7 linked regions of the Canis lupus familiaris genome follow. The protein of the gene in region 1 binds, or shares a complex with, the protein of each later gene. Links are inferred from orthologs where the notes say so. Each region holds a gene or a part of one and is shown on either strand. Other genes may lie near its edges.

Evidence for each region.
Region 2: GAS8 (region 1) and CCDC153 share a complex: the UniProt entries of both Homo sapiens proteins name them as parts of the nexin-dynein regulatory complex. The link is inferred for Canis lupus familiaris from reciprocal best matches to the Homo sapiens genes DRC4 and DRC12.
Region 3: GAS8 (region 1) and TCTE1 share a complex: the UniProt entries of both Homo sapiens proteins name them as parts of the nexin-dynein regulatory complex. The link is inferred for Canis lupus familiaris from reciprocal best matches to the Homo sapiens genes DRC4 and DRC5.
Region 4: GAS8 (region 1) and IQCG share a complex: the UniProt entries of both Homo sapiens proteins name them as parts of the nexin-dynein regulatory complex. The link is inferred for Canis lupus familiaris from reciprocal best matches to the Homo sapiens genes DRC4 and DRC9.
Region 5: GAS8 (region 1) and DRC1 share a complex: the UniProt entries of both Homo sapiens proteins name them as parts of the nexin-dynein regulatory complex. The link is inferred for Canis lupus familiaris from reciprocal best matches to the Homo sapiens genes DRC4 and DRC1.
Region 6: GAS8 (region 1) and FBXL13 share a complex: the UniProt entries of both Homo sapiens proteins name them as parts of the nexin-dynein regulatory complex. The link is inferred for Canis lupus familiaris from reciprocal best matches to the Homo sapiens genes DRC4 and FBXL13.
Region 7: GAS8 (region 1) and DRC3 share a complex: the UniProt entries of both Homo sapiens proteins name them as parts of the nexin-dynein regulatory complex. The link is inferred for Canis lupus familiaris from reciprocal best matches to the Homo sapiens genes DRC4 and DRC3.

The regions. Positions count from the first base shown.
Region 1 is NC_049226.1:64,079,848-64,082,155, forward strand, and holds the end of GAS8 (dynein regulatory complex subunit 4), read right to left. Parts: intron 2,125-2,308; coding exon 1,975-2,124; 3' UTR 1,528-1,974; coding exon of another isoform or gene 1,438-1,527; 3' UTR 971-1,437; coding exon of another isoform or gene 835-970; 3' UTR 501-834; downstream 1-500. Other genes in the region: cadherin-1-like, read left to right, coding at 835-970, 1,438-1,527. UniProt on the Homo sapiens protein: Component of the nexin-dynein regulatory complex (N-DRC), a key regulator of ciliary/flagellar motility which maintains the alignment and integrity of the distal axoneme and regulates microtubule sliding in motile axonemes.
Region 2 is NC_049226.1:14,710,436-14,712,809, forward strand, and holds the end of CCDC153 (coiled-coil domain-containing protein 153), read left to right. Parts: exon of another isoform or gene 1-1,007; intron 1,008-1,020; coding exon 1,021-1,151; intron 1,152-1,450; coding exon 1,451-1,579; 3' UTR 1,580-1,874; downstream 1,875-2,374. UniProt on the Homo sapiens protein: Component of the nexin-dynein regulatory complex (N-DRC), a key regulator of ciliary/flagellar motility which maintains the alignment and integrity of the distal axoneme and regulates microtubule sliding in motile axonemes.
Region 3 is NC_049233.1:12,884,119-12,887,618, reverse strand, and holds part of TCTE1 (dynein regulatory complex subunit 5), read left to right. Parts: intron 1-958; coding exon 959-1,527; intron 1,528-3,500. UniProt on the Homo sapiens protein: Component of the nexin-dynein regulatory complex (N-DRC) a key regulator of ciliary/flagellar motility which maintains the alignment and integrity of the distal axoneme and regulates microtubule sliding in motile axonemes.
Region 4 is NC_049254.1:29,443,724-29,447,223, reverse strand, and holds part of IQCG (dynein regulatory complex protein 9), read right to left. Parts: intron 2,131-3,500; 5' UTR 2,070-2,130; coding exon 2,062-2,069; intron 716-2,061; coding exon 442-715; intron 1-441. UniProt on the Homo sapiens protein: Component of the nexin-dynein regulatory complex (N-DRC), a key regulator of ciliary/flagellar motility which maintains the alignment and integrity of the distal axoneme and regulates microtubule sliding in motile axonemes.
Region 5 is NC_049238.1:20,544,276-20,548,217, reverse strand, and holds the start of DRC1 (dynein regulatory complex protein 1), read right to left. Parts: upstream 2,801-3,942; 5' UTR 2,703-2,800; coding exon 2,548-2,702; intron 1-2,547. UniProt on the Homo sapiens protein: Component of the nexin-dynein regulatory complex (N-DRC) a key regulator of ciliary/flagellar motility which maintains the alignment and integrity of the distal axoneme and regulates microtubule sliding in motile axonemes.
Region 6 is NC_049239.1:17,297,696-17,301,972, reverse strand, and holds the start of FBXL13 (dynein regulatory complex subunit 6), read right to left. Parts: upstream 2,801-4,277; 5' UTR 2,748-2,800; coding exon 2,673-2,747; intron 1-2,672. Other genes in the region: ARMC10 (armadillo repeat-containing protein 10), read left to right, coding at 3,253-3,391. UniProt on the Homo sapiens protein: Substrate-recognition component of the SCF (SKP1-CUL1-F-box protein)-type E3 ubiquitin ligase complex.
Region 7 is NC_049226.1:41,717,046-41,720,545, forward strand, and holds part of DRC3 (dynein regulatory complex subunit 3), read right to left. Parts: intron 3,088-3,500; coding exon 2,964-3,087; intron 1-2,963. UniProt on the Homo sapiens protein: Component of the nexin-dynein regulatory complex (N-DRC) a key regulator of ciliary/flagellar motility which maintains the alignment and integrity of the distal axoneme and regulates microtubule sliding in motile axonemes.

The sequences.
Region 1 (2,308 bases):
CCCTGCTGGTGCTTGCGCTGCCTGTGAGCCTCTTTTTTTTTTTTTGCCTGTGAGCCTCTTGAAGGAGGCAGGCTCCCTCTAGTGGTGGGAATGGGCCGCTGGGCCACAAAGGTTCAGGGCCTGAGGACATGGAACTCATCCGCCCCGCCCCCCCATCCTTCACAAAAGCTGGGCCTCTGGGTCACATGGGAGTGGCCCGCTCTGGAGGGTCGTAGAGACCGTTCCTAACCCCCATACACTGTGTGGGTCCATGCTGCTCCTTCCAGTCACAGGACAGAACCTTGAAAGTACAGCTGGTGAGAGAGCTCTCCAGAGGTGACCGGGGACTGATCAGTGAGCCAAGGGACAGGCCCTCAGAGCCCTCCATGCAGACACTCGGTGCAGTGGAAACAGGCCACCGTGCAGATGGTGGTTTGGGTACAGTTACTGATCCAGAAAGCCACACACAATAGATTAAGTGAAAAGTACAAATTATCAAATAGTATGAACAGAATAATCCATTTTAGAGTATTTCCCTAACTTTATAAATAAGCAGTTATGTATAGAGAAAATCTGGGAAAAATATGCCAATGTAAAAGGATTGTTGCTCATAAAATAGGGGGGGATTTTTTTTTTTTTTTTTTAGTTTTCTACTCCTGTATATTGGGAGTTCTGTCTAAAAAGTCAGTGCAGTGGTATCCCTGAGACGCTTCAGGAGCCCAGGCCCTAGATGGTCCTGCTAGGGGGCTTTCCCAGTGACTCAGGCTGTGGGGGGGTCTGAGGCCACTGGCCATGCAGATCCTGTGGGGCCAGGCAGAGGCAACTTCTCACTCCCCATCCCTCAACGCTCCCCAGCTACACCGACTCAGATGGCCGCTGCCCAGGGCTCCTGCCTCCAGGCCCGATGAAGGCAGGCACCTACAAGCTGTCCTTTGACACCGAGGGCTACTGGAAGAAGAAAGGGCAGGAGAGCTTCTACCCATATGTGGAGGTGAGGGCCAGGGGTGGGCCAGAGGGGTGGAGGCCCATGATTCACCCAGGTTCCTACAGTGGTCAGGCTAGTCCTACCCCTCCCACCTCTCCCAGGGCAGTGGCAGACGATGAGTTCACCTGCTTTGAGCTCCCAGAGGAAAGGTGTCCAGGGACTTTACCACAACACAACCATCCCTGGGTGAGATGGGGGGCGGGGCCAAAAGTGACTCAGCCCCTGTGGACAGAGGCAGTCACCTGGCCCCATCCAGGGTGGATCCTTTGGGTTCCTTAAGCCGAGGGCTCTCTGGGCAGGGTTCAGCCCCATCCACAGCCCTGGCCAGGTTTCCAGCTCCACCCAGCTCCAGCTGGCCCTTGGGGCTCCTGCCCTGCTTATTAATTCCTACCCCCTGCCCACAGTCTGGGCTGCTTGTGTACTACATACAGGCAGGCCCCTCACTCTCTTCTGGTGCCTTCTCTGCTTCTCAGGTTGTTTTTACCATCGCCAACGAGACACACAGGTTCCACGTGCCTCTGCTGCTGAGCCCATGGTCCTACACCACGTATCGAGGGAGCTAGTGGCTAGCCATCGCCTCTGGCTAACTGCTGGCCTGTGAGCATCAGTTCCATCCCCATGGCTCACTGAGGCACCCACGCAGAGGGCACCAGGTCACAGTCCCTGTGGGAGACTCTGGTTCCCCCATCTCCAGTAGCAGCTGAATCTCAGGCATCAATAAAGTCAGTGCTGGCATCTGTAAAGCCGCTTCGATGCCTGGCCTCTGCTAGTGCTGCCCTGGCCCCGAGGTGGGAAGGAGGGCAGGGGTTTGCAGAGACTGGACAGGCAGCAGGGAAGGAAGTGGTCAGGGCACCATGGGCCCAGGAGGTGCCTCTCCTCCACAGAGCCAGGCAATGGGACACAAAGCAAACATAGAAAACCTTCATTTGCAGATGATACAAATCTAAAAAACAAACAGCTCCTGTCCTTGGTGAAAGGGAAGTCATCCAGGGAGCAGTCCCAGTCGAGCTCTACGTTGGTGTGCCCACAAGTCCCGCAGGGCCCTGGCCCAGGGTCTGCCCAATCACAGCCGTCTCCAGAGGCTTGAAGCCCACGTTGTCCAGAGGGATCCCAAAGGCCAGGAGCTTCGCCTCATAGGTGCGCAGCAGGTCATTGTGGGCCTATAGGATCAGAGCGACATCAGGGCAGGGCGCAGGGCCAGGCCAAGGCTGACTCCAGCCCAGGCCCACTCAGCTCTGGAGGACATGGGAGGGTGGTGCTGGGAAACCATAAAGCTAACCTTTACCAGTGCCTCATGTGAGGCCACACCTGGTCATAAGCACTTTTACATACATGAACTCAGGT
Region 2 (2,374 bases), about 49 Mb from region 1:
TTAAAGATTTTATTTATTTATTCATGCATGAGAGACACAGAGAGAGGGGGGCAGTCACTATATGGGGAGCCTGATGTGGAACTCAATCCCGGGACTCCAGGATCACACCCTGGGCCAAAGGTAGATGCTCAACTGCTGAGCCACCCAGGCGTCTCAAAACATATTCCCTCTTAGCTGATGTTTACAATGCAAACTAAGAAAAGATATTTGACTTATTTATTTTCATATCCTCAATGCCTTGGGCATGCCAAGCCCTACATAATTACTTGCTAAATCAAAGAATAAACCTTTTAGAGAAGCAAAAATGTAAAGGACAGGAAGTTTTTCCTTTCTCTCTTGGTTACAGGATAAAGTTGAACTATCTTAGCACGACACATAAGATCTTTCACAATTGTGACCTCAGAGTTTCCTTAACCTAAAATAGCCTCAGTTTCTTTCTTTCTTTCTTTCTTTTTACTAGGCGCCACACCCAATATGGGGCTCAAACTCATGACCCTGAGACCAAGAGTCAGCCAGGGGCCCCTAAAATAGCCTCAGCTTAGCTACAGATACCCAAGAGTTGCTTATCTGCCATGCGGACCCTGAATTCCTTTCATAATCCTTGCCTTATTTCAAATTTAAATTCGATCAGCATTTATGGAGCACCTCCTGTACATACTAGGTATTTTTCCCCATACACTCTCACATTTAACTCACAATAAGTCTGTAAGGTTTGTATCAATCTCTCTTTAAAGATGAAGAAACTGAGTCTCAGAGAGAGATGTACCCAAAGTTACACAGGTAGTAAGTGACAACCAGACTTTGGACGCACATTTCTCATCCCAAGCCTACTGCTCTCTCTGCTGTACCTCAATGGTATATGTCAGATCTTTATACGAACTATGGGAAAATTGATGATCCTGGGGGGGGGAGTCTGGAATGATCCCATTCAAGTTCTGCTTTTGAGGTGTCTTTGGAGACTCTGTTCACAAGTAGAATGTCACTACCCAGTCCCCTTCCTCCTCCCGCCCTGCCCTGCAGAGACGTGCCAGAGGGAAGCTGAGGCTGCGCAGCAAGAGGCTGAACGGGCCCTCGGAGAGCGGGACCAGACTCTGGCTCAGCTTCGGGCCCATGTAGTGGACATGGAGGCCAAGTACGAGGAAATCTTACATGTAAGCACCACCACCTCTGGAAGCCCTACCACCCCAGTAGCTAGGACTCCCCCATTCCCCTGAACCCCAACTAGTTCATACTATCATTGTCATCAATGGGAGACCAGGGGGGAGGAGAAGCATCTCCACAGAGAACCCTGCTCTGCCCCGAGGGCAGACAGCCAAGGCACGCAACCACACTTACTTAGTAAGAGTAAGAACCTGAAGAAGATGCTAGGAGGAAAGCTCGCAGACCAGCCCAGGGAAACCCTTGCTCTACCCTCTCTCCCTTCCTGGAGCCTGAAGCTTGGTGTCCACAGGGCAACCTGGACCAACTCTTAGCCAAGCTGAGAGCAGTCAGGCCTCAGTGGGATGGGGCTGTGCTGAGACTTCACGCCAAGTACAAGGAGCAGCTCCACCAATTTGGACTCAACCCCCTGGATCTCTAAAGCTGTAAGCTTCGGGGCAGCCCGGGTGGCTCAGCGGTTTAGTGCCGCCTTCAGCCCAGGGCCTGATCCTGGAAACCCGGGATCAAGTCCCATGTCAGGCTCCCTGCATGGAGCCTGCTTCTCCCTCTGCCTGTGTCTCCGCCTCTCTCTGTCTCTCTCTCTCCCTGTGTCTCTCATGAATAAATAAATAAAACATTAAAAAAATAAAATAATAAAATAAAATAAAGCTGTAAGCTTCTAGTCTCTGGGCCTCTGAGAGGCTCCAGCAATAAAGCTGTCTTGATGTAGAACTCCACAGAACTGTGGTCTGTGCCTTTTTGACAGATACAAATATCTCTTTGAGGGCATGTTGGTTCTGGCGGACCCATTACTCTGAAGATTGAATGAGAGGATAGAAATTTGACATTTGACAAACTCTCAACTCCTCTCTTAGAGAAACTGGGCCCCATGCCTTGAATCTTGGGCCCTTTGGGTCCTTTCAAATCACCATCCCCTACTCCCACTACCCACACCCCTCCCCGGCACCAACACAGGTAGCCAGATTTGTGGGGGCAAGGCCATTTCTTTAATAGACCAGCAGTGACCAGGCACCAGCCCCCACAATCCTAAGGTGCTGACAGAGAGAAGGTGTAACTGGTCTCCAAACTCTTGCAATATATGGGGGGAGTCCAGGAGTCATGCCTAAGGCAAGTTCCAGATGGCTTCAATCCTAGCCAATCCCATAGCCCACCTATAAAGGGAACACTGTGTTGCTCTTCTATTTTACAACATTCCCAATACTACTTTACTTCTGGT
Region 3 (3,500 bases), on another chromosome or scaffold:
TGGGGACTGCCTGCCCAGAGGCAAAACCTCAAAGGCTGGGTCTTGGGGCAGCCCCTGCCCTCCTGCACTGGGTCCTCATCCCCAGTAAACACTGCCCTTACCCTTTGGAACCAGAATGGTTTCTCCCACTGTCTCTACTTCCAGGGTCCACCAGATTCCCATCCACACTGTGCACTGCCTGTCTATGCCCTCTCCTCATCTTTCCCACTCTCTCCAGCAAAACCCAGCCCAAATCATATTTACCAAACACCTCCTCCAGAAAGCCCTCCCTGGTTGACCATCCTCCACTCTCTTGGAGCCTTCCACAGTGCACATAGGTTCTTGGTTTGTTCTGTACTTTGTGCTCTGTAAATGGTTATCCTTTTCAAAGATGAGTTCCCAGCCTCTCCTACTGGTTGGGGCTGTGAGGACAGGATCATCATTTATCTGTAGCACGTACCACCACCTGACCTACAGTATATTCTCCTGACTTATTTACTGTCTGCCTCCTCTCCTAAGAAGGAGTGGCTTCCACCGTCTTCCTCACTCTTGCTTGTACCCTCAGCACTTAGTGTCTTGGAGCACAGTAGATGTTCAAATATATTTGTTCTGTTTTGTTTTGAAATTAATGAATCAAATCATTTGGGAATCTCTGGGCTCAGGATTATCTCCTACATCAGACTAAGTAATACCTGAGGGCTAGACCTGAGATTCTTGTTCAGACTGGGAGCTCCCTGGAACCAGACAGGAAGATGTCCACCTTCAGGCAGGGAACATCCCAATGCCAGGGGCTACGTCTCTATCCTCAGACTAAGCATCCCTGATAGTAAAGGCTGCCCGCCCCCTCTCAGGCTGGGGCTCCCTGAGGGCCGCGGAAGGTCTTCCATTTGCTTGGGTGCCCCCAGGCAGGACCAGCCCAGGGTACCACGTTGTGGTATCCCCACCACTGTGACTCCTGCTTTCCCTCCTGTTCTCAAAGACAACCCTATCCTGAAGCAGCTGCTTCCAGAGCACCAGCAGAAGGTCCTGAACCACTTGTCACCCGACCTGCCGCTGACCGTGACCGCCAACCTGATCGACGACGAGAACTACTGGCGCCGTTGCTGCATGCAGCGCTGGCCCGTGTGCCACGTGGCCAGGCACGGAGGCAGCTGGAAGCGCCTGTTCTTCGAGCGGCACCTGGAAAACCTGATAAAGCACTTCATCCCGAGCACCACAGACCCCGCGGTGATCCTCGACCTGCTGCCATTCTGCAGGAACTACGTGCGCAGGCTCCGCGTGGATCAGTTCCTTCCGCCCGTGCAGCTCCCACTCCAGCCGTGGAACGGGGAGCTGTCCGACTCGGGCAGCGAGGCCGAGATGGAGCAGCCCACCGGGGACCACTACCAACTGCGGGACCTGGTAGCTGGCCTGAGCCACCTGGAGGAGCTGGACCTGGTGTATGGGGTCAAGGACTGCGGCATGAACTTCGAGTGGAACCTCTTCCTCTTCACCTATCAGGACTGCCACTCCCTGGCGGCCACCATCAAGGCATGCCACACCCTCAAGGTACCAGGCGGCCGGGCCTTCCTCTATGTCCCATTCTCCCCTCCTCTTCCTGCTCTTCCTCCTCCTCCTCCATCCCCATCATCTCCCATTTCCTTCTCATTCACTGACCAAGTGAATGCACCCTGCACCAAGCTGGATTCTGGGGATGCAGAGTCGAACAAGGCACTGCTCTCCCAGTTCTCAAGCCACTTACTCATCCAAGGAACATCTGCACTCTGGGCCCTATCCTTGGTGCTGAAGATTCAACAATGAGCAAAATTAATACCATTTGTGGCCTCTGGAGCTAGCAGTCTGGTGGGATAAAAGGCACTCATCAGCAATCATGTAAATGTAAAATTACAACTAGGCTAGGAATGCTAGATTTAGCAAATAAAAATACAAGACATCCAGTTAAATTTGAAACTCAAATACTCGACAGATAATTTTTCAGTAAAGTATGTCCCACGTATTCTGATTGGAAGAGGGAAAGCCTGCCAAAAAGTCAGAGAAAGAGGAAACGGGGGAGACATGGCCTCAAGTCACAGAGCGGAGGGACGGGTGAATCTCAAGAAAAGGAGCAAGCAGCAATGGAGTGGGGTGATGCTGAGGACCAAATTTAGCAAACTCAGAGGTCACAGAGCCGGAACTGTCAGTGGAGTGCCAGGAACAGGGGCCAGATTGGAGTGGTTTATGGAGAGAGTGGGAAGTGAGGAAACAGGATGGCTGTGATCAGCTTATTCAAGAACTTGGCTGTGAAGGGTATGAAGGGGAAATCAGTAATATGAAGGGTTTAGGTTTTCTTAAAAAGATATTTGCATGGGTTTAAAACCAGTATAAAGTTCCACTGGACAGCAACAAAGCGATGAGTCCAGGAGAAAGGCATAGGTTCATTTACCAAGGAAGGTTCTTGAGAAGGCAGGGAGGGTAGAATTGAGAACTGAGGTGGGGCAGTTGGCTCTGGGCAGAGGAGAGAGGATGTGGTGGGTAGCAGTGGGCTCGTGTTTGGTATTAGGAAAATGAAGGGTTCCCATTCAATGGCCAGGGAGGCAGGAGGAAACTGAAGTGCTGAAAGGAGGCTGTAGGGTGGCTCCCTGAAGTTTGAGAAGGCTGGAGAAGGTTGAAATCATTGTTATAGAGTAAGAGAGAATATGTTGTCCAGAGAAACAGGGCTAAATTGGCACACAGCATTGAGGGTCTGAGGGTGGTTCCAGAGATACCAACCAGAACTGTCATGTGACATTTTCCGTTACATCAATTGCTTGGGCACAGATAGGCAGAAAACAGAGTGGGGTTGATCCATGGTTGGAGCTTTGCCAGATAGGTACAATGAAATGATAAGAGACACAAGAGGCTCTAAGCTGGCTAAGGGAGACATAAAGAAAGCAGGGGAATGAAGAATGGGAAGAGGGTGGAGAGGCCCCGTGGAAGAGGGAGGAGTGGAAGGAGCTGGTTAGAAGGAGAGGGTTAGGACTCCCATCTCCAGGATTCCCCATGCTAGTCCTACCCCATTCTTTTGTCTTTTCTCTCCATCCTTCCATTCCCCATCTCTCATCCTGCTTCTTTCCCTGGCCTCTCCATCCAAGAGTTCCTCTCCTGGCCATCAAACAGGAGTTGGGGCATCAAATAGACCTGGATTTGAACCTACCTCTGGGACTTGATCACTGTGACTGTGTGACCCTGAGCAAATGACCTGTCCACCCTCAGCCTTCATTTTCTATCTGCAAAGTAGAAAGAACTCATTCTACCTGCCTGGGGGTTAGAGAGTCAGAGATAATTGTTATGATAACACTCTAGCAGCATGCCTACCGCATAGTAATTTGTCAATAAATGGTAGGCTTTCCTTCTACTGCCTGCCACCAGTTCCGCACTGCTCTGCCACGCGGGGAAGCCCTGCCCTGGCCAGGGCCAGTTGGATGGCCAACACCAGATAAGCAGAACCTCGGGCCTCCCTGTGGCCTGCTCCTCTACCTGCAGAAGGTAGCTGGGCAGGCAGG
Region 4 (3,500 bases), on another chromosome or scaffold:
GGATGTTCACAAAGGCAGGGTGCAATGTGTTCAACAATATAACAAAGTTATTTTAGAAGAAACGTTGAGAAGGTCCAACTGAATTTCCTCCCCTGAGGATTGAGTTAGCTTTCAGCAGCTAAGAATTACAAGATAGGTGGGGCAAGTCAGTAATTTGGCTACTCTCAGTGCATATACTGTATTTATCCTGATTTACTATAGGCCTTTTTGAATAATGCCAACATGTTGGAAGAAAAGGATATTCTGGTTGTCAATGTATCTTGAGCTATGGTTATTTCATTCCATCAATTCAGAGTATGTATCTCAAGTAATTATTATAGCCCTTTTTATCTGAGTTAAAGATGCTATTTCCCAAGTTAAATTTGATGGCGTAAGTACTGTAAATGATAGAGAAATAAAGAGGAAAGAAAGCAAGAACTAGATAATGACGAGTGTATATACCATGATGACACTTTGTTTTCTTTCATACTGAACTGGCATGATATAGTTTAGAATAGAGAGCTGGTCTGCAGTATCTTCCAGAACTGCAGAGATCCTCAGCACATCTAGAATGGAGAGTGGCTCTACGATTTCCGGGAGGACTTCTTTTTCTTTTTCTGTTTCTTCAGCTGTTTCTTTTTCTTCTTCTACAGCACTGGGTGGCTCGCCTGTCACTGACACTGTCACCTCAGAATGCCAGATGTTCGCTGGAAGATTTGAGGCTTCTAACTGGCCTCTAAAGAAAAAAATAAAAAATTAAGTCAGCCACCAAATGTTTAAAAATTGCTTCAACTAAAAAGCACGGGCATCATACAGATGGGCTCCTGTGAAGTCCACATTGTCAAATAACCAAGATAACGAACAAAAGAAGGAGTTTACATGTGGTTCTGCTAAATATCTTCCTGTGACATTCTGACTAACCAAAGGCAAGCCACTCCCTGCAGGGAGCCTGATGTGAGACTCCATCCGAAAACTCCAGGATCACGCCCTGAGCTTAAAGCAGGAGCTCAACGGCTGAGCCAGCCAGGCGTCCCTCCACTTACTGTTTAGTAACTCTGTGTTAACCTAACCATACTATTTGGCCATGCTTAGCCAATTTGAATTCGAGCCCAAATTACCTTTTTTTTCTAGCAACATCTTTAAATGCTAATCAAAAGTATCTCATGATTAATGAAAAACAGAATGTGGCAGGAGCACCTGGCTGGCTCAGTCAGTGTAGCATGTGACTCTTAACCTTGGGGTTGTGAGTTTGAGTCCCATGTCCGGCACAGAGTTTACTTAAAAAAAAGATAAAAACATCGACACCTGGATGGCTCAGTGGTTGTGCGTTTGCCTTCTGCTCAGGGTGTGATCCCGGAGTCCTGGGATCCAGTCAGTCCCGCGTCAGGCTCCCCGCAGGGAGCCTGCTTCTCCCTCTGCCTGTGTCTCTGCCTCTCTGTGTGTGTGTCTCATGAATAAATAAAATCTTTACAAACAAACAAAAACAGTATGTAGTAGTCAATCTCCAAAATGGATCCATATGATTCTCACCTTCTTGTAATCATACCCTTGTAGTCTCCCCGACATTAATAGGACTAACTACCCTATGTAACCAGGAAGATACTGTGGGTTCCACCGTTCGGTGATAAAAGACATTGCAGCTTCTCCCTTACTCTCCTTCTCGTATCTCCCACTCTGTAAAAAGCCAGCTGCTTTGTCATGAGGACACTTAAGCAGCTCTTTGGGGAAGTTTTTGAGGGTGTGGAACTAATGCCTCTTGCCAACAGCCAGTATCAACTCCCCAGCTTTGTAAATGAGCTATGTTGGAAGTGGATCTTCCAGCCCCAAATTTTCAGACGATTGAAGCCCTGGCCAACTTCAACCTTATGACAGACCCATAACCCAGAACCATCCAGCAAAGCTGTTCCCAAATTCCTGACCCACAGAAACCATGTGAAATAATAAAAGTTGATATTTTAAGTTACTAAGCTTTGGAGTACTTTGTTCCCAGCAATAGATAAATAAATTTAACATAAGGCACAATTCAAATAATAGATAAATAAACAAATACGTATACAAAATAAATTGGAATTTTGAACATACTCTTCCATTCTTCTTAAATTAGTTGTAACTTCAATGGTACATTTACAATTTCACAAAAAATGCAGTCACCTAAAATGGGAAGAAAACACAGATTAGTTTAAGAGAGGGTTGAATGACATTTAAATTATTTCCATACCCTTTCAAAAGAGCTTCAGCTTATCCTTTCTTTTTTGCTTATTAGAGCAGTGCCAGAGATGGAAGAAACTCTGGCATCATGTGATGCAGGACTATTAGGTAGTCAGCTTAATTATTGACAAATACAATTATTGATAAATGCATGTTTGAGTCTCATGGTAAATTAATATACAACATGGGTTTCGTATTTTTATTAAATTCTGATTTTTAACTGGCAATATCTATGTAATAGATTTACTTTTCCGTTATTCTGATTCTAAAATATTTAATTTGAGCATTCCATTTCACTGGTCTGCCAGACAGCAAAATTAATTGCATCTGGACTTAAAAGAACACTTGATGGGATCCCTGGGTGGCGCAGTGGTTTGGCGCCTGCCTTTTACCCAGGGCGCGATCCTGGAGACCCAGGATCGAATCCCACGTCGGGCTCCGGGTGCATGGAGCCTGCTTCTCCCTCTGCCTGTGTCTCAGCCTCTCTCCTCTCTCTGTGTGACTATCATAAATAAATAAAAATTAAAAAAAAAAAAGAACACTTGAGACTGTATTTAGAAAGGCTGTATTTTTTTTTTTTTGAAAGGCTGTATTTCTCCTGAAAATCACTGCGCTGTTACTACCAAGATGTTACCCCTCCATAAGCCAAAATTCTTTCTGCTTGAAAAAGCTTTATGATGACAATGCCATATGAAGAATTTTACTCTAGGCTAAATGAATAATAAATAGTTTCGTTTCCAGTATGGTTTTGTCCACAATAAGGTGATCCTAAGAAGGCTGATACAAACATGTCTCATACAACAGAAGTCTCTTATGTAAAAGTGAAAACATATAAACAGAATCTTTATGCAAACTGAAAAAAAAAAGATACTCCAAACTAGCCAAATTTTCTGGTACAACAGCAGTGTTAAGAGGAAGTATCATGGTATAAAGATTTTTGTTCTTTTGATGTGTTATTGTTGTTTCTCTATTTTCCCTATTTTTAGGCTTGGGGCATAGGTAAATGTGCTTCATGCAGGTAAGACAGGGCTATGCTAATGCAGTATCCAGCAAGTTCATGCTCTTCTGGTTTCCCATTTCTCAATGCTAGAAATCTAGGAGTATTCCTCCTTCATCTTGACCCCAGCATTTCCCAATCCAAACCATCACTAAGTCCTGTGGATTTTATCTTCTATTTCCATGTCCCCCAACACCATGCTGGACCTGACTGTTGTTTCTTGAACAACTGTAACAGCCCCCAAATTGGAGGTGATCTTTTTAAAATTGAAAATCATTTTTTTTTTAAACTAAAAATTTGATCCTGTCTTTCCTTA
Region 5 (3,942 bases), on another chromosome or scaffold:
CAAATGCCTAATGGACATCTTGGTTTTAAAGTCTTCCAAAATCCAATTTCACTGAATATGTCCAAAGCCAAACTCTTGATTTCCAAATCCTCCTGACTCACTTCCCCCATCACCATCTTTATCATTTCAATGCAAGGCACTACCATCTACTCAGCTGTTCAAGCCATTCTTGCTTTTTCCCTGTCTTTGACTAGCATATCTAAAATCAGTAAATCCAGTCAGTTTAAGCTGTAAAGCATTTCTTGACTACATCTGCTTTCTCTCCAAACCCACCAGACCAACTTCATCCCTCACAGAACCAATGCAACTGCTTCCTAACTGTCCTCTTCAATTATACTTCTGGCTTCTGCAAACCAATCCCTCAGACAGCAATCAGAGTGATCTTAACATACTTAGAAATTTGAGAAATTCCCACATTAAGTTGTTGGTGAGTGGGTAAGAGTTATCATGGGAGGGAAGGCCAAGTGGACATCTTTAAAACTGTACCTGAATACATAAAAACAATCACAAAGTGGGGGCTAGGGAGTGGGGATGGTGGAAATTAGTATCACCCTTAAGGATCTCAAGGATACAGGAGTGGTGGTCCCCCCCCCCCCCCATCATGTTTCCATTTAGTTCACGGGTCTGGTCCCTGCAAAAACTGGTTGCATCTGAGAATATGATTATCAATACTGCAAGCTCAACCAAGTAGTAGGCCTCATTGCTGTTGCCATGTAAATGTGGTATCTTTGCTGGAGCAGTGTAGAGTGGTCTTATGTACATACAAGGTGGCTGCTGATTGGGTCAAATGTATTATTTTCTACCTAAATCAGGAAAAAGAATCAGAAGTTCACATTTACATGGAACAGACAATAATATATACACATATAATTCTCACACTCACAGCGTCATGTTGATTCTCCTGATCTCTGTCAAAACATAGACTGAATAAATCAGGACCATTTGGATACCCCAGAGAACATCACGTTGATCCACTACATCAAGATTGACCTGAGAGCTAGATATGACCCATCTGTTTTTGTAGGGCTCATAAGAAAAGAATGATTTTTACACTTTTTAATGATTAAAAAAAAAAAAGGAACAGATCAATAGGAAGAGCACAAAGGATTTTTAAGGCAATGAAACTATTCCATATGATACTATAATGGTGGACACATATCACTATATATTTGTCAAAATCCATAGAACACCAAGAGTGAATCATAATGTAAACTATGAACTTAGGGTGATGATGTGTCAATGGAGTTTCATCATTTGTTTTGTTTTGTTTTTTTTTTAAGATTTTATTTATTTATTCATGGGAGACAGAGGGAGAGAGGCAGAGACACAGGCAGAGGGAGAAGCAGGCTCCATGCAGGGAGCCCGACGGGAGACTCAATCCCGGGTCTCCAGGATCATGCCCCGGGTCGAAGTCAGTGCCAAACTGCTGAGCCACCCAGGCTGCCCGAGTTTCATCATTTGTAACAAATGTACCATTCTGGAGGATGTTGATAGTGGGACAGGCTGTGTATGCATGGGGGCAGGTGGTATATGGGAAATCTCTGTACTTTCCACTCAATTTCGCTGTGAATCTAAAATTTCTCTTAAAAAATGAATTCAGAAAAGAAGATCAAAATCTGAAGAAAATTTTGTGACACATGAACATTATATGACATTCAAATTTCAACGTCTTTAAGTGAAGTTTTTTTTTTTTTTAATTTACTTATGATAGTCACACACAGAGAGAGAGAGGCTCAGAGACATAGGCAGAGGGAGAAGCAGGCTCCATGCACCGGGAGCCCGACGTGGGATTCGATCTCGGGTCTCCAAGATCACACCCTGGGCCAAAGGCAGGCGCTAAACCACTGTGCCACCCAGGGATCCCTTAAAGTGAAGTTTTATTGGAACACAGCCATACCACTCTGTGATCTAATGGCCAGCAAACAAGAAGTCACCATCTTGGTAGGATAGGTGACCCTGGCTAGCAGGACAGGGTACAAGTGCTCTTACACAGTGAGGGTGTTCAGGAATTCAGAAGATCATGCAGGTGCCTCTTAGAATCCTCTTGTGACAGCCCACTGTGCCTATGAGTAGACAGGTGCAACAACCCTGTCCTGAGAAGGGTATGATTATCAGGCACAGACCCTTCAGGAATGAGGGTTTGTGTCATACAACCAGATAAGCTACTGAGACCAGCAGAAGTGACAGCTGAGGTCCACTCCAGAAATGCTTGTGGAAGGCAGGCAGGTGGGGATGGGAAGGAGGAAAGAAAGACCTCTGAGAGGAGGTCACGGATGGCCTGTGTCTGCAGTCCATTGCTCGCAGTGCATGGCACAGCAGGCTTTCAATAAATTTTTAAAAACTTCCTGCTGCAGAGACTATTATTTCCGTCTTTGACTCCACAAGTGTATTGAATGTGTTCATATCCCATACTTTGGTTGAACCTTCCGGAAGAAGTTTTTCCTAGCTCACCGCCTATCTTTGCGCTCACACGTGGGCCCCGCCCGCCCCGGGAAGGCGCCCGCCTGGTCCCCGCCTCCGCTGCCGACCGCCCGGACCCCCGCTCACCGCCTCCGGGCTTCCAGTCGCGCCGCGATGCGGAGGCGCCGGGCCTGGATCCGCTCCTGAGGGTTGTCAGAGTATATGGACGGCCCGAGAATCGGGGTGGACAAGTCTTCCTCCTCCTTCTCCTCCAGAACCCCCAGAGATCCCGGCGGATTCATGGCAGGTGCCTCCCGCCCCAGGCCCGCGGCGCCTGGACCACCGCCGGACCACGGCCCCGTTGCTAGCAACAAGTCGTCGCCAGGGAAAAGCAGGCACCTGACCCGCAGCTGGAGCGCGCGCGAACAGCTCCCAGGCCACGCCCACCTGAGGCTGCACGCCCCCCTGGGTTCTGTATTCTTCTCCCGGAGAGAGAACGGGACTTAGGCTCTACCTTAGTGGGGTGAAAATTACATCAGTTTCGTTCAGCACTGTACAAATAGCGCCGAGCATAATGCCTAATATGTAGTAAGTGCTCAACTAGTGTTTGCTGAAAGAAGTGTACACAGATGTATATGTATGCTCGCTGTAGTTATTTATAATGTTAAAACACTAGTGTGACCCTGAAATCCATCAATAGGGAACTGATAGGAACGCCTGGGTGGCTCCGTGGTTGAGCATGCCTTTGGCTCAGATCGTGATCCCGCGGTCCTGGGATCCAACCCCACATCAGGTTCCTCGCAGAGAGCCTGCTTCTCCCTCTGCCTGTGTTTCTGCCTCTCTTCTGTGTCTCTCATGAATAAATAAAATCTTTTTTAAAAAAATGGGATTGATAAAGCTTTCACGGGATGGATAACAATGTAGCTACTAAGAATGGGTCTGACCTACAAAGACCTAAAGATGTATGAAATGAGGAAGAAAGGATGTAACACAAATGTGTAGAATGTGATCCAAGTTCTATTTGAAATATATCTAGTACATATGGTCAAAAAATGAGCACAAAGTAAGGCCAAAGAAGTTACTGCCTGTGTTCTCTTCTAGGAGCTTTATGGTTTCAGATCTCATATTTAGAGAGATGTTCCCCAACATCGTTTGAAAAGACTTTTTTCTCATTGATATTCTTTCCCGCTTTGTTGAAGATTGACCATATAGTTGTGTGAGTTCATTTCTGGATTTTCTATCCTGTTCCACTGACCTATGTGTCTGTTTTTGTGCCAGTACCATACTGTTTTGATCAGCTTTTAATTATAACTTGTAAGTCTGGAATTGTGATGCCTCCAGTTTTGCTTTTCCTTTGCAAGGTGGCTTTGGCTATTTGGGGTCTTTTGTAGTTCCATACAAATTTTAGGATTGTTCTAGTTCTGGAAAAATGCTGTTGGTATTTTGAAAGGGATAGCAATAAATGTGTAGATTGCTGTGGGTAATACAGACATTTAATTATTTGTTCTTTCAACCCATGAGCATGTAATGTCTTTCCATTTC
Region 6 (4,277 bases), on another chromosome or scaffold:
AGGGGGTGGGGAAAAACTAACATAATTACGATTGCAGTCCCAGAAAGAGAAAGGAGAATTGGGTAGAAGCATTATTTGAAAATGATCAAAAATTTTCTAAAACTGATGGAAAATATCAATCAATAGAATCAGTAACCCAATAAGTCAAGCAGGGTTGTGTTTTGTGGTTTGTTTGTTTTCTTTAAATCAGCCTCTATGCAGGGGTTTGCAGGGAAATGACATCCAGGTTTTATTCAGGATAGGCGGGCGAAATTCAGACGAGGTTAAATATGCAGGGAAGTCCTGATTTAAAAAAAAAAAAAAAAAAATGTATGTATTCCAAAGCTTGCCGAAGATGGGTTTTAGAGGATTGCTAGTCCTGTTGAATCGGGTCAGATGAGTAGCTGTGTAGGGATATGAGGCTCAACGGGTTCATCCTGATAGTCCTTTAGGGGAAGTGGGTAACCAGGCTAAGGAGGGAGCGGGGCTCCCAGAAGCCTGCTCTCTTGCCCCGCTGGTAACGTGGTCAGAAGTGACGGAAGGGCTCATGAGAATATCGCCTTCAGTGAAGGGCACTTCTGAGGGCTCCCCTTCTCTGGGAGCAAAGCAATGTGGTAGGCTGGTGGGCTAGGGTGCTCTCACCCAAAGGAGGAACCAGGGATGCCTCTACCAGCTTATGGGAAGTGGAGAGCAAGGTGAGGAAAGGCTATCACTTCTCTGATGCTCCCGGACCCTCAGCTCGAGCCCACTTTCTGCTATGTATCTCACAGCCAACCAAGACAGGGTCATCGCAGCTATTCTGAGTGATCTAAATCTTAAACCCAAATATTCCACTTTCGGACCCCTACCCTCCTATTTTTCCAGCTCCCACACTCAGTTACTCCTGCTAATCCTCTTTACTCCTTAGGAACCTCCACTTTCTACCCATGTATCATATCCGGTCCCATTCTCACCTCATACCCAGTCCCTTGGCCCATCACTCAGGTACCCTAAAAAGCTTAGCTCCTTCCCCGCTGCCCCTCCACACTATATGCCTGGCCAACACCTCTCCTGGATGAAGTCAATCTTATTTCTGTACCTCTATTGGGTTTACTGACTGCTACTTAAGGAAAACCAGGGCAGCTCTGATGGCCCAGCGGTTTAGTGCCACCTTCAGCCTGAGGTATGATCCTGGAGACCTGGGATTGAGTCCCACGTTGGGCTCCCTGCATGGAGCCTGCTTCTCCCTCTGCCTGTGTCTCTGCCTCTGTGTGTGTGTGTGTGTCTGTCATGAATAAATAAATAAAATCTTAAAAAAAAAAAAAAAAGAAGAAGAAAAGAAAGAAAAACTACACCCTGGGGAAGATGAGTGCCATGCTCTCTACATATTTTGAAATATAATCGTGTAGAAGTAAAACATGAATGAGACTCAGCAGAAAAAAAGTAAAACAATACACAAGTATACACAGCAAAGAAAATTAGGGTTCTCTCCTAAAAGCATTCCCCCCAAACATTTGCTATTAATAGTTTTGCATATGTTCTATGCATGCATTATTATTGTCTTAAACGTCGCTACACACAGACATAGGAAATCACAGTAGGGATCCCTGGGTGGCTCAGCGGTTTAGTGCCTGCCTTCCGCCCAGGGCGTGATCCTAGAGTCCCAGGATCGAGTCCCACATCCGGCTCCCTGCATGGAGCCTGCTTCTCCCTCTGCCTCTCTCTGAGTCTCTCGTGAATAAATAAATAAAATCTTTAAAATAAGAAAAAAAAGGAAATCACAGTAGCTACATTGTAGGAGACACTTCTGGGGCAACTTGCATTTTTCTTCTTCTTTTAAACTATGTCTTGGAGAGCTTTTCTTCTCAAAAGGTATACACATACTTTATATACTATCTCATTCCCTTATTCATATAGAAGTTATTTACTATTTTCACCATAATGAATATCCTCGGACAGCTTTCTGGATACACGTGAAAGCCTATCTCTCCAGTGGATCCCTAGAAGTGAAATGTTTGGTCAAAGGCTATATGTAGTCAACATTTAATAAATTTAAATTAACCATTCAAAAAGGCTGCACCGAACTGCCCTCCCAAGTGCACAGCAGTCACTTTCGCAAGCTGGGCTCTCAGGGCTGCCGGGCTCTCCTCGTCTCTTTCCCCAGACTTCTCTCCCCCTCAGTCTCCACACACGTGTCTCTGCTCAGACCCCTTCTGCAGCCTCCAAACCCGCGCAAACACGCACGGCTTAGCATACGTCTCACCAAATCTTTGTCGAGAAAATGGCAGTCACCGGGTCTTGCTTTCCTAATCCCCAAACCTACAAAACCCGCCGGGCCTCTCCAGTCCTTCCTGCTGTAACGACGGGGGGAGGGGCCCCTGGTCAGGCAGGGTCGGGCTGTGGGGTCGGGGCCTGCCGCCTGGCGCCCCCAGGCTCCGCCTCCCCCGGGGCCCGCCGCTGCCCGCTCGCTCTCCCGACCACTTGCGCATCCTCCTGCGGCCCCGGGCCTCTTGCCCAGACCTTAAGTGCGGGGCTCGCGGTTCCTGTCCCGGGCCCCGCGCCCCGTGCTCTGGCCTCCGAGCCGGTCCGCCCCGGGCGCCGCGCCGCCTGCCCTCTCCGCCCCCGGCTCCCGGCCGGGCCCAACCCCCGCCCCTCCTCCCGGACGTCTTCGGGCTCCGCTGCTCTAACGCCGCCGCCGCCGCGGGCTCCAGTACCTCGCACACCTGAGGAATGTAATTCTCCTTGAAGTAGCTCCTCAGCCGGGAGTCGGCGGTGCGCAGCGAGGCCATGACCGGGGCCCCCCAGACTCCGCGCCCCGCGCCCGCTAGCGCGTCCCGGCGTTGCCCTGGCAACCGCGGGGCGGGGCGGGCGCGGCCCCGGAGCCCCCCGCCCCCGCCGCCGCGAGCCGCCGGGAGCCGCCGGGAGCCGAGGAGAGCCGCCGGGCGTGGAGGCGGGCCCGAGCCCGGGCGGGAGCGAGGGGAAGCCCACCTCTGGACGGGGACCGCGTCCCCCAGTGAGTCCCCTCGGTGCGCGCGGTCCCTGCGCCTCCTCGCGGAGCTCCGCCCTAGCTCCGCCCCCTCGCTCCGGCCCCGCCCCCGCTCCGCCCCTGCCGCCCCGCCGGGCCGCTCGGGGCGCAGTGGGCGGTCCCTCCGTGTCAGCAGGGCCGTTTCCGGGAGGCGGGGCTCGGGCCCCATTTCCTGTGTCCTCCCGGCGCCGGCGCTCGGGCTGAGGCGGGATCCGCGGCTCCCCGCCTCGCGCGCCAGGCCCAGCGCAGCGCCCCGGCCCCAGGGCAGCATGGGCGGCGCCCGGGACGTGGGCTGGGTGGCGGCGGGCCTGGTCCTCGGGGCCGGTGCCTGCTACTACATTTACAAGCTGGCGCGGGGCCGGCGGCGAGGCGCCCGCGGGCTTCGGCTGCGCCCCTCGCGCTCGGCAGGTGAGGCCACGGGGTGCCCGGCAGGTGGCCGGGGCGGGGGGCGGGGGCGGGGGCACGGACGACGGCCCCCTCGCTGGGGCTCTGAGCTGCCGCCTGCGTCCACCTCGTCCAAAATCCCGGGGTAAAAACGCCCGGATTTTCCTGGCTGAGGGCGGCGTCCCCGCGGAGGATTGGGTGGTTTCTCAGAAGCGCGTGGGTTGCCCCTCAGGGTCAGGACCCGCCGCGGAAGGTGCGGTGGTGCCTGCGGCCGCCCCTGAGGAAGGAGGGCGGGGGCCCCGCCGCGGCGCGGAGGCCCGGGGACTCCCTGCGGTTCGGTTACGAGGTTGCGGAGGTCCCGGGGCCGCGGATGGAAGCAGCTGCCCGCGCGGGGAGCTGGGGGCGCCCCCCCCGCGACCCCCCGCGACCCAGCGCCGGGGTGGTTGCTGCCCCAAAGCCGGTGGTGCATCGGGATTCCGAGGATTTGCTGGGTGTTCTAGGATAGTGCGGGTCACGGATGCCAACCAAGAAACTCCTCCCTACAAATGGAGGAAAGAACTAAAGCTTTATTGTTGAATAAGCGCGACTCCAGATTGCCGTGCCCATCACAGGCGATCAGCTGATGGGATTGAGAAGACACACGTGTCTTCACTTCGTGTATCTGGCGGATAAAGTCTGTTTCGTGTCATCTCTGCATGTTCTGAAGATAAACAGGAACTTGTCCTCAAGAGGGCTTGACAGCACCATTCACACAGAGTCCATCCTAAATTCGCTGGTAATCGGGGTGGCTATCGCTGTTAGCTAATTGCCTTGATCCAGAGGAAAATAAGACTTCTCGGGATCTTTATGATGAGCAGGTGGTTACCACGTGGAGCCAGGCGCCAAGGCTAAACTTAGGGGTCTGCGCTCC
Region 7 (3,500 bases), about 22 Mb from region 1:
AGGAGGCCCTCAGTAAATGCTAGTTATTTGTTGTTGTTACTACTTTTACAATCAGGGCATCCCCCACTCTGCCCCGCCCCAAGAACAATATCCTGCTTTGTTGCTTCAGTGTAAGGAGAACTTAGGGCGCCTGGGTGGTTTGGTCAGTTAAGTGTCCGACTCTTGATCTCAGCCTGTCTTTTTTTTTTTTAAGATTTTATTTATTTATGAGAGACACAGAGAGAGGCAGAGACATAGGCAGAGGGAGAAGCAGGTTCCCTGCAGGGAACCTGATGCGGGACTTGATCCCAGGACCCTGAAATCATGACCTGAGCCGAAGGGAGGTGCTCAACCACTGAGCCACCCAGGCATCCCTCAGCTCAGGTCTTGATCTGAGTTGGGGGTTCAAGCCCTGCATTGGGCTCCATGCTGGACATGGAGCCTACTTAATAACTAAGGAGACCTACACCACAGTATTAAGGTTCTGGTGATGTCTCTCCATGCAACTGCAGGCATTTCCCAAAGGCCAAAGCTCTCCCTGGCCTGCAGAGGGCAGGGCGTACAGTGGCTTTGCTGGCCGCCCTCATGAGGCCTCGAGGGTAGCACTCAACACCAGTCCTGCCAGAAAGCCCAAGGCAGAGCCCCATTATCTTAGTGCCTGGGGCCATGAGCCAACCCAGAATGCCGGCAAACGCCAGCTTATCGTCTACAATGAGGGGCACAGGCTCGGCATCTCTCAGGCTGGAGTCTCAATTCAGACTCTGGTCCTCTCAAATGGTGTCATCTTGGGCAGTTTAACAGACTTCTCTGAGACAAAGTCTTACCCTATTTTCTCATCTGTAAATTGTGAATGATAACAGTACCACCTTTGTAGGGCCCTTTGGGGGAGATAATATGTGAGCATCAGGCTTCATTGCCTTGACAATGGCAAGCCTGCAGGGAGTGGAGCTCCATGTTTCTAGCCACTGTGGTCAGCCTCAACCCAGTCAGTGGGTACTGAACCTTCCTGAAGCTACAGAAACAGGTGTCAGATGGTGCCAGGCATTGTCATCCTGGCAGGAGAGAGGGCTCGCCACCGGAAGCACCAGTCCAGCCTGCTTGCCTGCCAGAGTTTCGGGGTCCATATTTTTCTGTGTCCCGGTTATTAGGGAGGGGTGTTTTAATCCTGTGCCCACTAAGTGTCACAGACCTGGAAACTGTGCCATGAGGGAGCTCCATGACTCCTCGATGGTCCATCTGGGGTCTAACAGAGTGGGCTCTTGGGGGACATCTGATTTCAGGGCTCAGGGGGAGTGACCGCTCCTTGTGTCTGGTTAGTAAGAGCATTTGACAGGTGTTTAGGGAGGGAGGGCTGGCAACACAGTGGCCCTGCCAACAAGCTGCTGCCCTGGGTGCCTGTCTCAGCCCCCAGACAGGACTGCTGGTCTCTGTCTGCCAGACTTAGCCAGAACCTGACAAGTGGGGCTTCATGAACTCCTGGCACTTGGGTTGCCCTGTGGCTGTACCGTGCACCACTGCTGGCACCGGCGAGGTACATGGTGGTGAAGAGGCCATCTCGGCCTTCCCCATGAGCCTGGATTTAGTGTGAAGAGTCATAGAGCAAATCAACACACACATGATAGCTTGTAATTTTAATAATGCCCTGACAACGATAAATGGTGTGTGTGATAGAGAGATGGTGGTTTCCCAGGAAAGTGATGAGGGAAGGCCTCTCCGAAGAGCTGCCATTTGGGCTGAGAGCCAAACAAGGAAGACCGAGACACCCGGAGACCAGAGGGAAGGGGACTGTCTGCTAGGTGGAATATCAAATGAAAGGAGCAAGCCTGGGAGCCTGGGGAAGGGCTCCGAGGCTGGGGCGAGGGGAAGAAGCCAGGCTCGAGGGTCTGGTGGACTACAGTAAAGTGAAGTGCTTAATCCAAGGGTCACAGGAGGCCATTACTGTGTGGTACAAAGTCACAGAAGGATGAGGTTTGGATCCCAAGGATCTCTGGCTGCTGCGTGGAGAACAGCCTATAGAAGGGATGTAAGGAGACAGTGGTCCAGGGAAAGGACAACATGGCTTGGTCTGGTGCTAACATGGAGGTGAGAGAAGCTGAGAAATGGGGAGTGGAATGAGTGATGAAGGAAGGAAGGCTCCCGACAAGTATCTGGCCTGTGCCCCTCCCTAGAGACATGACATACAACCCCACTGCACCCCCACTGGACCCTGATGCAGGAGACCCGGACAGCCTCCCCGGTGAGCAGCCTCAGGAGCTCGGCCCCTGCTGCTGTGGGACTACCCACCCCTGGATGGGCTGGTGGAAGGTGGGAAGCAATGGGCCAATCAAATGGTTCTCCCGCTGTTCCAACAACCTAGTAATGCTGCCTATCAGACATTCAGGAAGACCTGCCTGTGAAGTCTCAGAACTTAACCTGTGTTTGCAGCTGCCTCTCTCAGAGGCTGCCAGAAGCCCCACAGAAAGACTTTGGGGGTGGGGGCAAGCAGTTTAGCGCCGACTTTGGCCCAGGGCTTGATCCTGGAGACCGGGATCAAGTCCCACACTGGGCTCCCTGCATGGAGCCTGCTTCTCCCTCTGCCTGTGTCTCTGCCTCTGTGTGTGTGTGTGTGTGTGTGTGTGTGTGTGTCTCCTGAATAAATAAAATCTTAAAAAAAAAAAAAAGACTTTGGGGAACTAACCTGTTGGTAAGTTGAAACAACTCAATTATCATGAGCCCCTCTTTAGATGGGCCCCACTGAGTGCCCACCAGGTGTTAGCTTGTTGGCCTATTTCATCTGCCAAGCACTGTGCAAAGGAGGTCATTGTCCCTTTTGCAGGCGAGGAAACTGAGGCTCCAGGAAGCTTTCAGGCTTACTAGAGCCACGGGAGGTGGGGCCCGGGGACTTTGTTCTTCCATCTGTCTGTCCCTCAGCGGCCCGCCTTGCCCCCCCCAACCCTGCCCACCACCCGGCCCACTGGGGACCGAGCCCCGCCTACAGTGCTCACCGGGCGCAAGTCATCAGGCAGGTCCTCATCGACATCACCCTTCAGTATCTTCTCGAGAGTATTGATGGAGATCTCTAGGAGCTTCTCGTGGTGGTGGTTCTCCAGGTCCCGGCACTGAGCCATCGTGTGGCCAAGTTAAGCAAAGGCCAGGGGTGGAGTAGGTGCCCCTGCAGACCCTCCGAGGGCTGGGCCGCTGAAAGGCAGAAGGGTCCACCCGCAGGTGCCAGGGCTTCACCACCTTCACAGCCTGCCATCCACATACAGGAAGCCCCAGGACCACTCCGGTCCACCCCTCATGCACCAACACCACACTGCCCATGGCTGACCCTTGGTGCCCTGTCCCCTCAGAGCCCCTCAATCCTCCACATCTCTCCCTCCCACCGCCTCCTGACTGGACAGCGAACCGAGACCTGGTCTCCCAGCTCTAGCCCTTTCTCCCCACAGCAGCCAGTGTGCTCTTAAACACGTACCTAGACTGGACCTCATCCCTCCCATGCTCACCACTCTCCCGGGCTTCTGACTCTCTACTGTGGCCTA